2 linked regions of the Rattus norvegicus genome follow. The protein of the gene in region 1 interacts with the protein of each later gene in a biochemical or structural test. Links are inferred from orthologs where the notes say so. Each region holds a gene or a part of one and is shown in the gene's direction. Other genes may lie near its edges.

Evidence for each region.
Region 2: the proteins of Hus1 (region 1) and Rhno1 form a complex in vitro, tested with the Homo sapiens proteins (2 studies listed by BioGRID). The link is inferred for Rattus norvegicus from reciprocal best matches to the Homo sapiens genes HUS1 and RHNO1.

The regions. Positions count from the first base shown.
Region 1 is NC_086032.1:87,906,059-87,911,560, reverse strand, and holds part of Hus1 (checkpoint protein HUS1), read left to right. Parts: intron 1-1,056; coding exon of another isoform or gene 1,057-1,098; exon of another isoform or gene 1,099-2,860; coding exon 2,861-2,960; intron 2,961-3,645; coding exon 3,646-3,765; intron 3,766-5,301; coding exon 5,302-5,384; 3' UTR 5,385-5,502. UniProt on the Homo sapiens protein: Component of the 9-1-1 cell-cycle checkpoint response complex that plays a major role in DNA repair. The 9-1-1 complex is recruited to DNA lesion upon damage by the RAD17-replication factor C (RFC) clamp loader complex.
Region 2 is NC_086022.1:163,321,413-163,327,564, reverse strand, and holds the start of Rhno1 (RAD9, HUS1, RAD1-interacting nuclear orphan protein 1), read left to right. Parts: upstream 1-2,178; 5' UTR 2,179-2,507; intron 2,508-3,889; exon of another isoform or gene 3,890-4,922; intron 4,923-5,353; 5' UTR 5,354-5,437; coding exon 5,438-5,602; intron 5,603-6,152. UniProt on the Homo sapiens protein: Involved in microhomology-mediated end-joining (MMEJ) DNA repair by promoting recruitment of polymerase theta (POLQ) to DNA damage sites during mitosis.

The DNA.
Region 1 (5,502 bases):
TTCATAGCTGCCATCTGAAGGGAAGATCAGTTTCTGGAAGTGGCACGCACTGTGCTGGCAGTAGTGTTCACTGTCGCTGCCATGGGATTGCTCTGGTCGCCAGGCTGGCTTCTTCTAAGGCACCCTGGAACTTCTAGGAGGTTCAGGAGGCCCAGAGGGAAAAGTCAGCTAACTAATTGATGTGTCTATTTGCTTGTTCTTTCTGTTCTGAGAAGCCGCTCAGCAAAGTGGAGAATGAGAGGGGGATTCGGTGAGAGTGGTGGTGGTAGTTTTTGTTCTGTGCTGGGAAAATGCTAACAGGAAGTTGCTGAGCTAGAGTGGCCAACTGCTTAATGAGGTCTGTGTACCTGGAGAGCCAGAATCTGAAGAACTAAGTAGATGTCTCTGGGAGAGTCTTAATAGTTTATGGAATAAAGAACTTGCAAAGTTAGGGAATCATCTTGGTCCATCTCCACCTTTATAGTGAAGCCCACACGTGCACAGACAGCCTTCAGTAGGGGATCATGACTGAGTCCTGTACGAAGGATACTGCATGTGTGATAGCCGAAGCCAGACTTAGGGGGGCCAGCGAGGCTGCTGCCTACCAGGCCAGAGCAGCAGTCCTGACAGAACAACCGGGAGAGAGGACTCAGCTCTGACACTCACTCATTCCCCACGGGGCCCACTCTTCAATTCCTGTTCTCCCTGCCCTGGTACTGTTGGCACAGCTCACAGCAATCTCCTTTCTCCTTAAGTTCCAACCATGCCCGTCCTGGTTCTTTTATCTGAAAGGAGGTTTGCCAACCTGTTCAAGGCACACTTCGTTTCTGGTTTGGTTGTTAGTAGCTGCCTACCTGGTCTGTAGGGTACATACAGTCTGCTGTCCGTGTTCTGCCAACCAGGAACACCTATGTCAGCAGGGCCATCCTGTGTGCGTTGCTGGCAGAGGGTCCTGCGTAAGTGAGAGGACAGGAAGGCACCCTGCTGGCCCAGATCATCAGGACACAGCACTAGCACACCTGGGAACTGGTCAGTGTGGTGTCCCCTGTCCTTCTCACTCCACTTCCTGTCCCACAGTGGCTGCATAACCACAACCAGGGATCCAGAGAAGGGAGGTGAGAATAACCAGGAGTGATGGAGACCTTGGGAGGCCGGTGAGCATGAGAAACAGGCTTCAGAGAGCAGCTCATTTAATGTGAGGAGCAAAGGCGTTTTGAACCTTTGACCCTGAGTAGAGGCTATGAGGTGGGTGTACAGCATTGGTTGGGGCCAGGTGGTCATTTGGATAGGCAGGAGTTCCAGGAGCTTGATGAACAAGACCTTATAAGAGAGGGGGAGTTTAACCTGGTGTCGTCCTCTGGTGTGGGCAAAGGTTGGGGGTGCAGGACCACGTCCGAAGCTGGGGAGGGAGTGGTCTTAACTTCCTACCACTCTCAAGATGAGATTTCCAGGGTTGGACCCCGCTTGACCCCACCTCTGCTCCTAACTGTCTCCTCCCTGTCCCATGGTTTCCTGGCCCCACAGTCTTCCAAGCTTGTTCCTTAAAATTTCTGAACTCCAAATCTTCCTCATTCTAGAGACAAAACAAGTTAGGTTCTTTGAAGTCAGATTAAGTTCTTCTTTTTGAGGTTTTGACATATACAGAGTTCCCCAAGCTCATAGCCTTCTACTCAGGTAATTTCCTTGGAATAAGAAGTTTCCATGTTAACACTTCTTTCAGTAAGTGAGGTGATTTAAGTCGCAGTTTCTTGGACTATCATGCGAATCCACATACCCAGTTTCCTAAGCACCAAGATAAGAGCTTACGTTTCTCAGTGACTGGCTTAGTCACCACCAAGTGCCACTAGTTGTCTACTGACTAATTTGTACTGGTGCCTGCTATAAACTACCTCTAAATTCATCAGAGCAAGAAAATGCTTGTGACAACTGGACTGCTGCCCCTTTAGAGATAATGTCTCCAGCACCAGGTTTCACTTACCCTAAGGAACTCACTCCAAAGGCTTCCCACCTCCTCGCAGTGTTTCTCCTCCAAAGTCTTTCTTTGCTCTTCCCTACGCTGTTCCAGGAAAGCTGTTTCCAGGATCGCATCTGAAATCACCTCCAGTGGGGCACACATCGTCAAGCGTCGTTAGTGGGTGTGGTAAGAAGACAGGCAGCATTGTTAGCATGCCCTGGACACTGGTCAGAAGTATGGAGCCTGGGTACATGCCTGAATCCAGCTCTCCATCTTAACCAACCTCGGGGATTCTCATGCATAGAATGTGAGGACGGGGGCTCTCCTTGCAAGAGCCGTAGACACAGCCTACCATGTCAGTTGCTTCTTGCTTCAATGAGAAAGGCAGAGACAGGCATCTCTGAAGGGATGCATGTTTTGATGGTTTCACTCTCCAGACTCTGATCCATGCTTGCTCTACCTCTCCCCATGTAACTTCCTTCCTCTCCTCTGCCGAAGCATTCATCCTATTCGGTTAGGGTCCTTCCGTGCTTGCTGAAAGGGAGCAGCCCTTGCCCCCACTCGGCCCTCCTCACTTTGCTGGGTCCTTCTTCCTTCTGTGCTTGCTGTAAGGGAGCAGCCCTTGCCCCCACTCGGCCCTCCTCACTTTGCTGGGCCTCCAGAGCCCTGATCCTTGGCAGAGCGCCTCAGCAGTGTCTGAACCATTTTGCCAGGCTGAGTTTTCCACTAGGGAGGTATTGTTGTTTTAGGGGATTTCTGTGATCTGGGCTCTCAGAATGTCTCTCAGTGGTTGACGCCTTAGAGGCTTCAGTGCCCTGTGAGGCGTTCCGAGGTTTGTGCCCTTTCCTTGTTACCTGGCTTTTGCGGAAGCTGGTACCACATTGTTGTTTTTCCCCCTTTTAATATTGAATTTTATTCAATTTGCAGGTTATTGAAGCAAACCTAAAAGGAGAACTAAACCTAAAGATAGAAACTGAGTCAGTATGTGTGACAACACACTTTAAGGATCTTGAAAACCCTCTACTACGTGAGTTTTCTTATGGGCTATATTTTGCTTCTAATAGCATTGTTTCGTTGTCCGTTGAGTCCTCCATGAACATGCTGCACTCTGGGAAGGGGCTAAGGTTATGCTCCCTCCCTGTGACGCAGTAGTGCAGTTAGCTAGGCAAGGTTACCAGGCAGAAGGCTGCTCCCTCCTCCGGGATTCAGGTCAAAAACACTGACTTCCAAGCTCTTCCTTTGTCACTGTGACAGGTATGATTGGTTATTCCAGATTTGCTTCTTCATAGGCACAAATATTACTGTTAGCCCCGCAAGAAACATTTATTTTGTAGTGAGGGACACATAGCTCCAGGAAAGCGAAGCCCCATAGCATGAAGCTTCTGACAAACGTGTGGATGACCTCGGTTTTCTTGGTGGTGTGTGTGTGTGTGTTCAGAATACTTACTGAGTCTATGGCCTCTGCATGCTAGAGAAGCGATCCACCGCCGAGCTACCTCCCCAGCCCTGACATGAGTTATTTTGGTGTCAAATTACAGTATTTTAACTAGTTCAGATGTCTGCTGAGTGAGTAACATTCACAAGTTGCAGTCTACGAGGCTGCTCAAAAGAGCTGTAGAGTCTATCAGTTAGTAAGTAAGCACCTTGCACATTTCTGAGTTCCTTGTTAGGGGGATGTTGGACTTAAAAAAAAACCATTCATGTCATTGCAGCTTCTGACAGTGTCTCTCAAAACAGACACCCAGAAGACATGGCCAAGGTGCACATCGACATAAGGAAACTCCTCCAGTTGCTTGCTGGACAGCAAGTGGCTCCCACCAAGGCGGTGTGCAGTGAGTTTGTTCGCCACTACTCAGCTCCTGTGTGATATGCACACAGTCCTACATGGGCAAGCATGCCTAGTTCTGGGCACTCGAGCTCCCTGGGACAGTCAGGCTTGAAAGTTTCCTCCAGCCGGAGGTGTCTGGAGATGCTGAAGAAGACTGATGCCGAGCGGTGTAGAGCCAGAAAGCTGGTAGCCATGCTAGACTGGCTGTGGCTGCAGCTGCAGCTGCTGATGTCAGCAGTGGGCTCTGTGTCTGCAGTCGTCAGGACAGGGCTGACTCACAACAGCCGAGTCTGTCAACTTTTACATAACCAGTCCTGTATACGCTTTTGCTTAGATCTGAGCCTCAGCTCAAGCTCGTTCCTTTCAGTGCCCGCCTGCCCTCACTCACCACAGTCTCCTCAGTTGTTGGTTCTTCATGATTTGGGCCTGGCCCTGACTCGGAGGTTACACCCTGCTCTGCTTCTCTTCACCTGCTGGCCCCACTGAGCTAGGCCGTTCACCAAGAGCTTCCCAAGGCTCTGTGTGTCCTTGGCTTTGTGTTTGTTTTTGTTTTTGTTTTTGTTTTAAGGAAAGGCATAGGAAATGGCCTGAATGTGACATCCTTCCCTCTATGGAAAGCTGCCAGGCTGACCTCTCATCCATTCGTCAGCAAGGCTGAGGAAGATGATCTGGGACTAGACCGTAAAATAATAAAACAAAGCTCTGGGTAGCTCTGCCAAGGACCAGCCTTTCTAAATGACACACACACACACACACACACACACACACACACACACACACACACACACACACAAACACACACGCAGAAGAAGGTGTGTTCTAGTTAGGGTCACCATTGCTGTCATGAAGCACCTTGACCAAAAGCAGCTTAGAGAGGAAAGGGTTTCACGATTCACTGCCACAGCAGCCAGGACAGGAACCCGGAAGCAGGAGCTAATGCGGAGGCTGCAGAGGAGTGGCTTGCTCCTCATAGCTTGCTTATAGATCCCAGGACCGTGAGCCCAGTGGTGGCACCACCCACCGTGGTCTGGGCCCTCGCCCATGATTACTACTTAATAGCCTAGAGCCCGGTCTTGAGCATTTTCTCAACTGAGGCTCTCCTCTCTCTGATGATTACCTTGTATCAAATTCACATGAAGCTAGCCAGCACAGAGTGAGAAACCACAGAAGAGCCTCCGAGAGCCTATGGGATCAGAACCCATGGAAGAGTTTGATGGTTTGCGGTAGAGCCTATCCCAGTGTGCACAGGGGCACAAACACTCAGACCTTGCCCATATAACTTGGTCACCTCACGGCGAGTACATGCTTTTACCAGGAAGGTTAATTTGGTTAAATCCGCCTGATTTTTCTCCCCCTAAAGTCTGGGCAACTTCATTCTTCACCTCCCACTCTGTCCCTGGTGGGTGGCCGTGACCTATGCTGTGACCCTTTGGAGCCCTCAGAGGGAAGAGACACCAAACATAAGAGGTGGCCGTGGCAGATAAGCCTTGTGATAGGTGGGGATGAAACTCTCTTTGACATCTGGGTCTTTTCCTCCTAGATATCGTCAATAACAGAACTATTCACTTTGATCTGCTCCTGGAAGACGTCTCCCTTCAGTATTTCATCCCAGCCTTGTCCTAGCACCATCTCAGCTGACCCAGGAGGACAGAGGACTTTGTCGTGATGAGAGAAGCACTGGACGATATGGTCAGTCAGCTGCCTGTCCTCACAGTACCACACATTTGAACTGGGCTTATTT
Region 2 (6,152 bases), on another chromosome or scaffold:
ACGAGCAAACAAGAACAAACAAATAAAGCCCTATCACTGACCAAGGAAAGCTGAAAACTGCAGCAAACACTTCAAGATGGGAACATGGGACTGCACTGAAGTGCATGGTCCCCTGTAAGCTTAAGAATGTTTGGCCAGGCTGAGAATGTAGCTTAGTAATAGAGTGCTTGCTTAGCAAGGCCCTAAGTTCAGTTCCCAGTACTACAAAAAGGCAAACAAACTAGAAAGATTTGGGAGGGAGGGGAGGCTGGCAAGATGGCTCAATGACCGAAACCATCAGCTGCTAAGCCTGGCCACCTGCATTCAGTCCCCAGGACCACGATGGTGGGAAGAGAGAATCAGCTCCTGACTGTTACCCTCCAACCTCCATACATGTGCTGTGGCATGTGGGCAACCCTCCTCCCCAACCCCCGCCCCAGTAAAAATGCAAAAACCTCTTTTTGAATGTTTGGCCAGAGGAATACACATCTACAAGAATGTGGAAATACCAGCCACTGTCCACTAGAATGCAGGTCACTCTCGATGACTGTAGGGACGAATGAAAGACTCTACCCAAGCCATAGTCCTAGTGCCCTTTTCTTTCCGTCTCAAATAATGCAGCTGACCTACACGTCTGATTCTCCTGCCTCCACCTGCCAGAATCACAGGTGTGGCTACAATGCCAGGTTTAGGTAGTGGTAGGAATTGAACCTGGAGCTTTGTGAATGCTTGGTAAGCACACTACAATTAAAAACTCCAATCCTCTTGAATTAAAAATAATTTTTTTCAATAGTTGTCAATAACCACTGAGCCATCTCTCCAGTCCCATTCTTTCTTTCAAAATCTGCAAAGCATTTGCACAGTGACATTTTGGTACTTGAGAGTAACTATATTTTAGTTTTATAAGTATAATACTTGATTTTTCTGCTTCTAAAGACTGTAATACAGATCTTCTCCATACCAAAATGTGCTATCATTAATATGCTTAAGGTGGCTTTAATTTTTGAGATAGCGTCTCATGTAGCCCAGGCTGGTTTTGAACCACTGAGCCTTTGGCCCCCAATTTTCTAGGTGCTGAGATTACAGGCATTCACCACTATGCCTGGCTATGCTAAAGTCACTTTGAAATGCTAAGGAAGGAAGTCTTTAGAAAAAGCATTTCATAGGTTTTTATAGATAGATAGAATAATTTATCATTAAATTAAATCCTGCCACTCCATTTTGCAATCCTGCGAGAAAGGGAGAAACAGCCGGCACTTTAGGAAACCTTCCAAAAAGTAATTACACTTTTTTGACATTTGCCAGCTGCTTAGCCTTCTTAGGTCCCTTCCTCCCTGTAGCTTTCTCTCCTTTATACTTCGTTCTCTCGACCTTCAAATCTCAGTTCTCGTTTTGCTTCACACTGCACCCACCCCAATCAAATGGTAGACACCCCCCACCATAGGGTACCTCTCTCTTTGACCAGCCTTTTCCTAACACTCCCAAAATCTTCTAGCGCAAGGCGACTTGCAGAGCCATCCCCAAAGACCCCATTCTCCACACAGAACCGGGAACCTTGCAACGCTCAGCTAGGATCCCACCCTGCAGCTGTGGAGGCGGAGGCAGGGTTGACTGCAAGTGCAGACTCAGAGGGCAGGCCTGTTCCCAGGGTCCCGGGGTGCTCGGAGAACGCGGCGGGAAAGCCGAGGCCGGCGGCTCAGACTTTCTTCCTGGCGGTCCTCAACACCCCCTCGCGCCCCACAGCCCCGGCAGTCCCGACTCCAAGCCCTCCCCGGACCGGGTCGCACCCCACTCACCTCACAGGCCACCGCTGCTCCACGCGGGGCCGAGCCAGGCCAGGGCGGGCGGGTCCCGGCGGGACGGCCGGGGTGGGAACCCGGGGCGGGGTGGGGGGTGAGCCCGGGCCGGGGGTGGGTCCCGCAGCGCCGCTTTCAGTTGTTCCGCTGTTTGAAATTGGCGCCGGCGGAGCGTTGCGGTCACGTGACGGAGCGTCGCCAATCGGCACCGGCTTGTCTCCGGGTTCCGGCCCCGAACGCTCGGCGTCCTGAGGAGCGGCGGCCGCGGCCGGGAGGGCGGGTAAGGGGGCCCCGGAGCTCGAGGGACGGCGGGAGGGACGCGGGGACGCGCGGACCGCGGCCAGCAGCCTGCTCCGCCCCGCCCCGGACCGCCCTGCCTCCGTGGTCGACTTCCTTCCGGGGCAGCGTACGCCACTCCCCCGGTTAGCTACCCACTGGGCTACCTCTGGATCCACCGCGCGGCTCAGCCCTCGTTGCTGCGTGGGGTCCAGCTTGGGTTTCTGTCCCCAGACTTGCGGTTAAGTGCCCTACGCCCCGCCCCTGTCTGTGGCCGCCTCCACCTCGGGCCCAGCCCCGAGGTGTCCGGACGATCTTTTTTCCATACTTTACGAAAGAGTGGAAGGTACAGTGGCAGACCGGGCCGTCCTTCCCCTGGGCTCACCGGTGGTCTGATGGAGAGGGAGCCCAGAATGAGATGAACAGATCGGTAGAATTCTAGCTACAGAGGAACAGGTTAGAGGCCGGTGGGTTTTGTCTGACCCCGGGTATCCCCATGTGTAGAATTCTCGATTCTCGTGTTTCCGCCTTCGGAGTAGCCCGGGTCACTGGCTCGCCCTCCCGCAGCCGCCAGTGATAAATTTGAGTATTTATTTTAACGAGAAAATCTTGACTTAGGGCAGGAAAGCCTTTCTTTTTCCTTTCTTTCTTCCTCTCTTTTTCCTTCCTTCCTTCCTTCCTTCCTTCCTTCCTTCCTTCCTTCCTTCCTTCCTTCCTTCCTTCCTTATGAGCTGAGAACAAGGTGTAAGATCTGTCACCCATTACACAGAAGGGAAGGAAACATTGAAGCAGCTAGATTAAGAAGGGAGATGTTTGGGGCTGGGGATTTAGCTCAGTGGTAGAGCGCTTGCCTAGGAAGCACAAGGCCCTGGGTTCGGTCCCCAGCTCCGAAAAAAAGACCAAAAAAAAAAAAAAAAAGAAGGGAGATGTTTTGACTGGAGGAGGCTAGGCTGGTGAACACAAAGGCTGAAGGTCACAGGGATTTGAACTAAGACTTAGGGGGCGTGGTATGCTATGAGATGGGGAGCAGATAAAGACTGTGTTTGAGAGGTGAACAGGTTAGAGGCTGGTGGGTTTTCACTGACACCAGAATGTGGTGGCTCACGCCTTTAATCCCAGCACCCAGGAGGCAGAAGCAGGCGGATCTCTGTGAATTCCAGGCCAGCCAGGTATTCATAGCCAGCCCCAGGCTAGCCAAGGCTACATAGTAAGACTCTATCTCAAAATTAAAAAAAAAAAAAAAAGGCCAAGATTGTGCAAAACCTGACTTAGATTTTGTTTGGGTAAGTATATAAGAGCTTATCTAGATTAGACAGAGATGGGTGGGATATGGCCCAATTTCATGGGCTGTGGGCCTGGACTGACTAAAGAGAGAAAGCTAGCCGAGCAGGAGAGTTCATCTTCTTCCTGCCTGTTAAAGGGATGTGCCCAGCTGCTATGATTCCAGCAACAAAGGACTACCCTGGAACTGTGAACCAAAATAAGCCCCTCTTTCCTTCACTTGCCTTCCAGGGAATTTTATGATGGCAACAGAAAAAGCACCTAAAACAGTGGGGCATGCCTTGGGAACCAGCACTTGGGAGGTGGAGACTACACAGTGTATTTGAAGCCAGGCGAGGCTATGCAAGACCATGTCTCACAATAAGACGACTGGTATACAGCCGAGTGGTACCGTTATCGCCTAACACGCTGAGGCCTGAGGTTCAATCTGAAAACTGAAAGGAATGCATTTTTTTCAAAATCATGCAAGGGGAAAGATAGGGGAAACTAATAGATCATATATGGTCAGGATTGAACCAGCTGGGTACTAAGTACATGGGGCTCATCCCGTAACTCAGTTGACCCCTCTTTATGTTCTAGAGAATCTGTGGGCTGTTTTTTTTGTTGTTTGGTTGTTTGTTTGTCTTTTAACAAAACCTAGATGTGAGCCTAAGCTTCTATCTGAAATTCTGTAATGATTGATTACTCAACCCCCACCCCACTCTCATGTGGCCTCACTTGGTTTTCAGACTCAATGTTGACACCATGTTTAATATTATTTTTTTTGTCATTTATCCTTTAAAACTTTTATTAAAAACAGGGTCTCACTTTGTATCCCCCACTAGCAAGGAGCTCACTAAATAGATCAGGTTGACCTCCAGCTCAGAGAAATCTGCTCCTGAATGCTGGGATTTGAGATGGATGTTACCACCTCACCTACACCTAGCCTCTTTTCCTTTTTTATTTTGTTAGCTAGATAGTCACATCCTCATAGATAGTGACATTGTGTGTGAGGACACATGCCTGTGAGGACACACATGCCACACATGTGGATGTCAAAGGACATCTTTTGGGAATTAGTTTCGGCCTTCCGAGTTCTTGTGAGTTCTGGAGAACACACTCAAGCCCTTGGTTTTTGAGGCAAGTTCTTTTACTGCTGAGCTATCTTTCACTCAGTCTGCAATGACCTTGTGATTCTCTGAATTCACAAAACAGCGTTTTGGCTGTTTAAGGTTTCACGTGACTCAGGGTGGTCTCTCACTAGCCAAAGGCAACCTTGAGCCTCCTGATCCTCCTGTCTCCCTTCCCTAGGGCTGGGATCCTAGGCACGCCCCACCGCATCTGGTTTGGTTTGGCTTTTGAGAGCTTTTTGTGTGCAGCCCAAGCTTGACTTGAACTCCAGATCTCTTGCCTCAGGTGTGCTAATTAGCATGTGCCCCCAAGCCCTCTGTAACGGTCTTTGCATGTGGTGCACCTCAGCCTCCAGTGACCTTCCTGGCTTTTGCTTCTCCTGGTTCCTTCCACAGGTTAAGTGTCTTCCTACCCAGAAAGCCTTCTCTGACGAGAACTGAAGCGGACTGTGCTATACTGAGATGTGATTGTTTCCTTCTGGTTAGCTCTCTTCCTCTTCCTTTCCTTCTTCCTTTCCACGGTTCCCTCATTTGCAGTTCTGGGGACTGAAACCTGCAGCTTTGTGCACATTAGGCAAGTGCTGTACCACAGTGCCTCAAAAGCAGGGACCTCTGTGTCACTACAGGTACTTAGTACTCAGTACTGTGAATAAGTACTTGCCCATCTTTAAAGTCTTTAAATCGTAGCACTCAGTGTGTCAGAATACCATGAGTTCAGCGGGTGCTCACTGAGTGAGTTTTGTTGAGTATGGATAAGATCGTATGTTTCTCGTGGTTTGGTATAGGAAGCTGGTTTACCTACAACCTGAGGTCTGATTGGTGGTTTCTGATAGATTGGTTACCCTGACGTCATGAAGAATTGGGGGAGGGGTGCCACCCACATGATCCCCCCCCTTTGTTTCCTCTCTCCAGGCATGGTTTGCAACTGGACTCTGACCCAGACCAGGAAGGCAGCCTGCATCATGTTGTTACTAACTGTTCTTCATTTACCCATTGATGCCTCCCCGAAAGAGACGCAGACAGTGCCAGAAAGCCCAGCTGCTATTCCACCAACAGCCACTGGAGGGCCCCAAACCCCATTATGAATCTCACCAGCAGCCCATTACCCACACTGTACAGGTGCCCAGCAAACCCATTGATCAGAGCACCATCACTTCCTGGGTGAGTCCTCGCAATTCTTTGACCTTTGCTGTGTTACGTTTTTCAGAATCCTGACTCTTAATCCTTTTGGAGCAGGGACAGGGAAGCAGTTGCTCTTTCTGGCTGCAGTTACCTGATTTGTCTGGTATATCCTCTTTTCATTCACACTAAAATATGTTTTATATGGAATTGGAGTCTTCCTGCCAGGTTCCTCTGAAAAGTTCTGATTGAACACTTCACTCCCCAGTCACTGGGTGAAGAAGCTAAAAAAAAAATGACCAACTTATAAAAGATTACTTCCTGTATTTCATATGAAAAGTACTAGGTACTCTACAGTTGACTGAACTTTAGTGGAGAAACCTCCTACAAAGGTGGCGTGCTAATTCACGCAAGTTCATCGTTGGGGAGGCTGAGGCAGAAGGATCTCAAGGCAAAGGCCAGCCCGGACTTTACAGTGAGACTGTCTGACAAAAGAAATTCATACGCACTGACTGAATGAACATGCAGATTAGATCCCACACCTCAGCAGTCTCACTTACACGGAGCTGCCGGTCGTATTTGCTGAAGACCT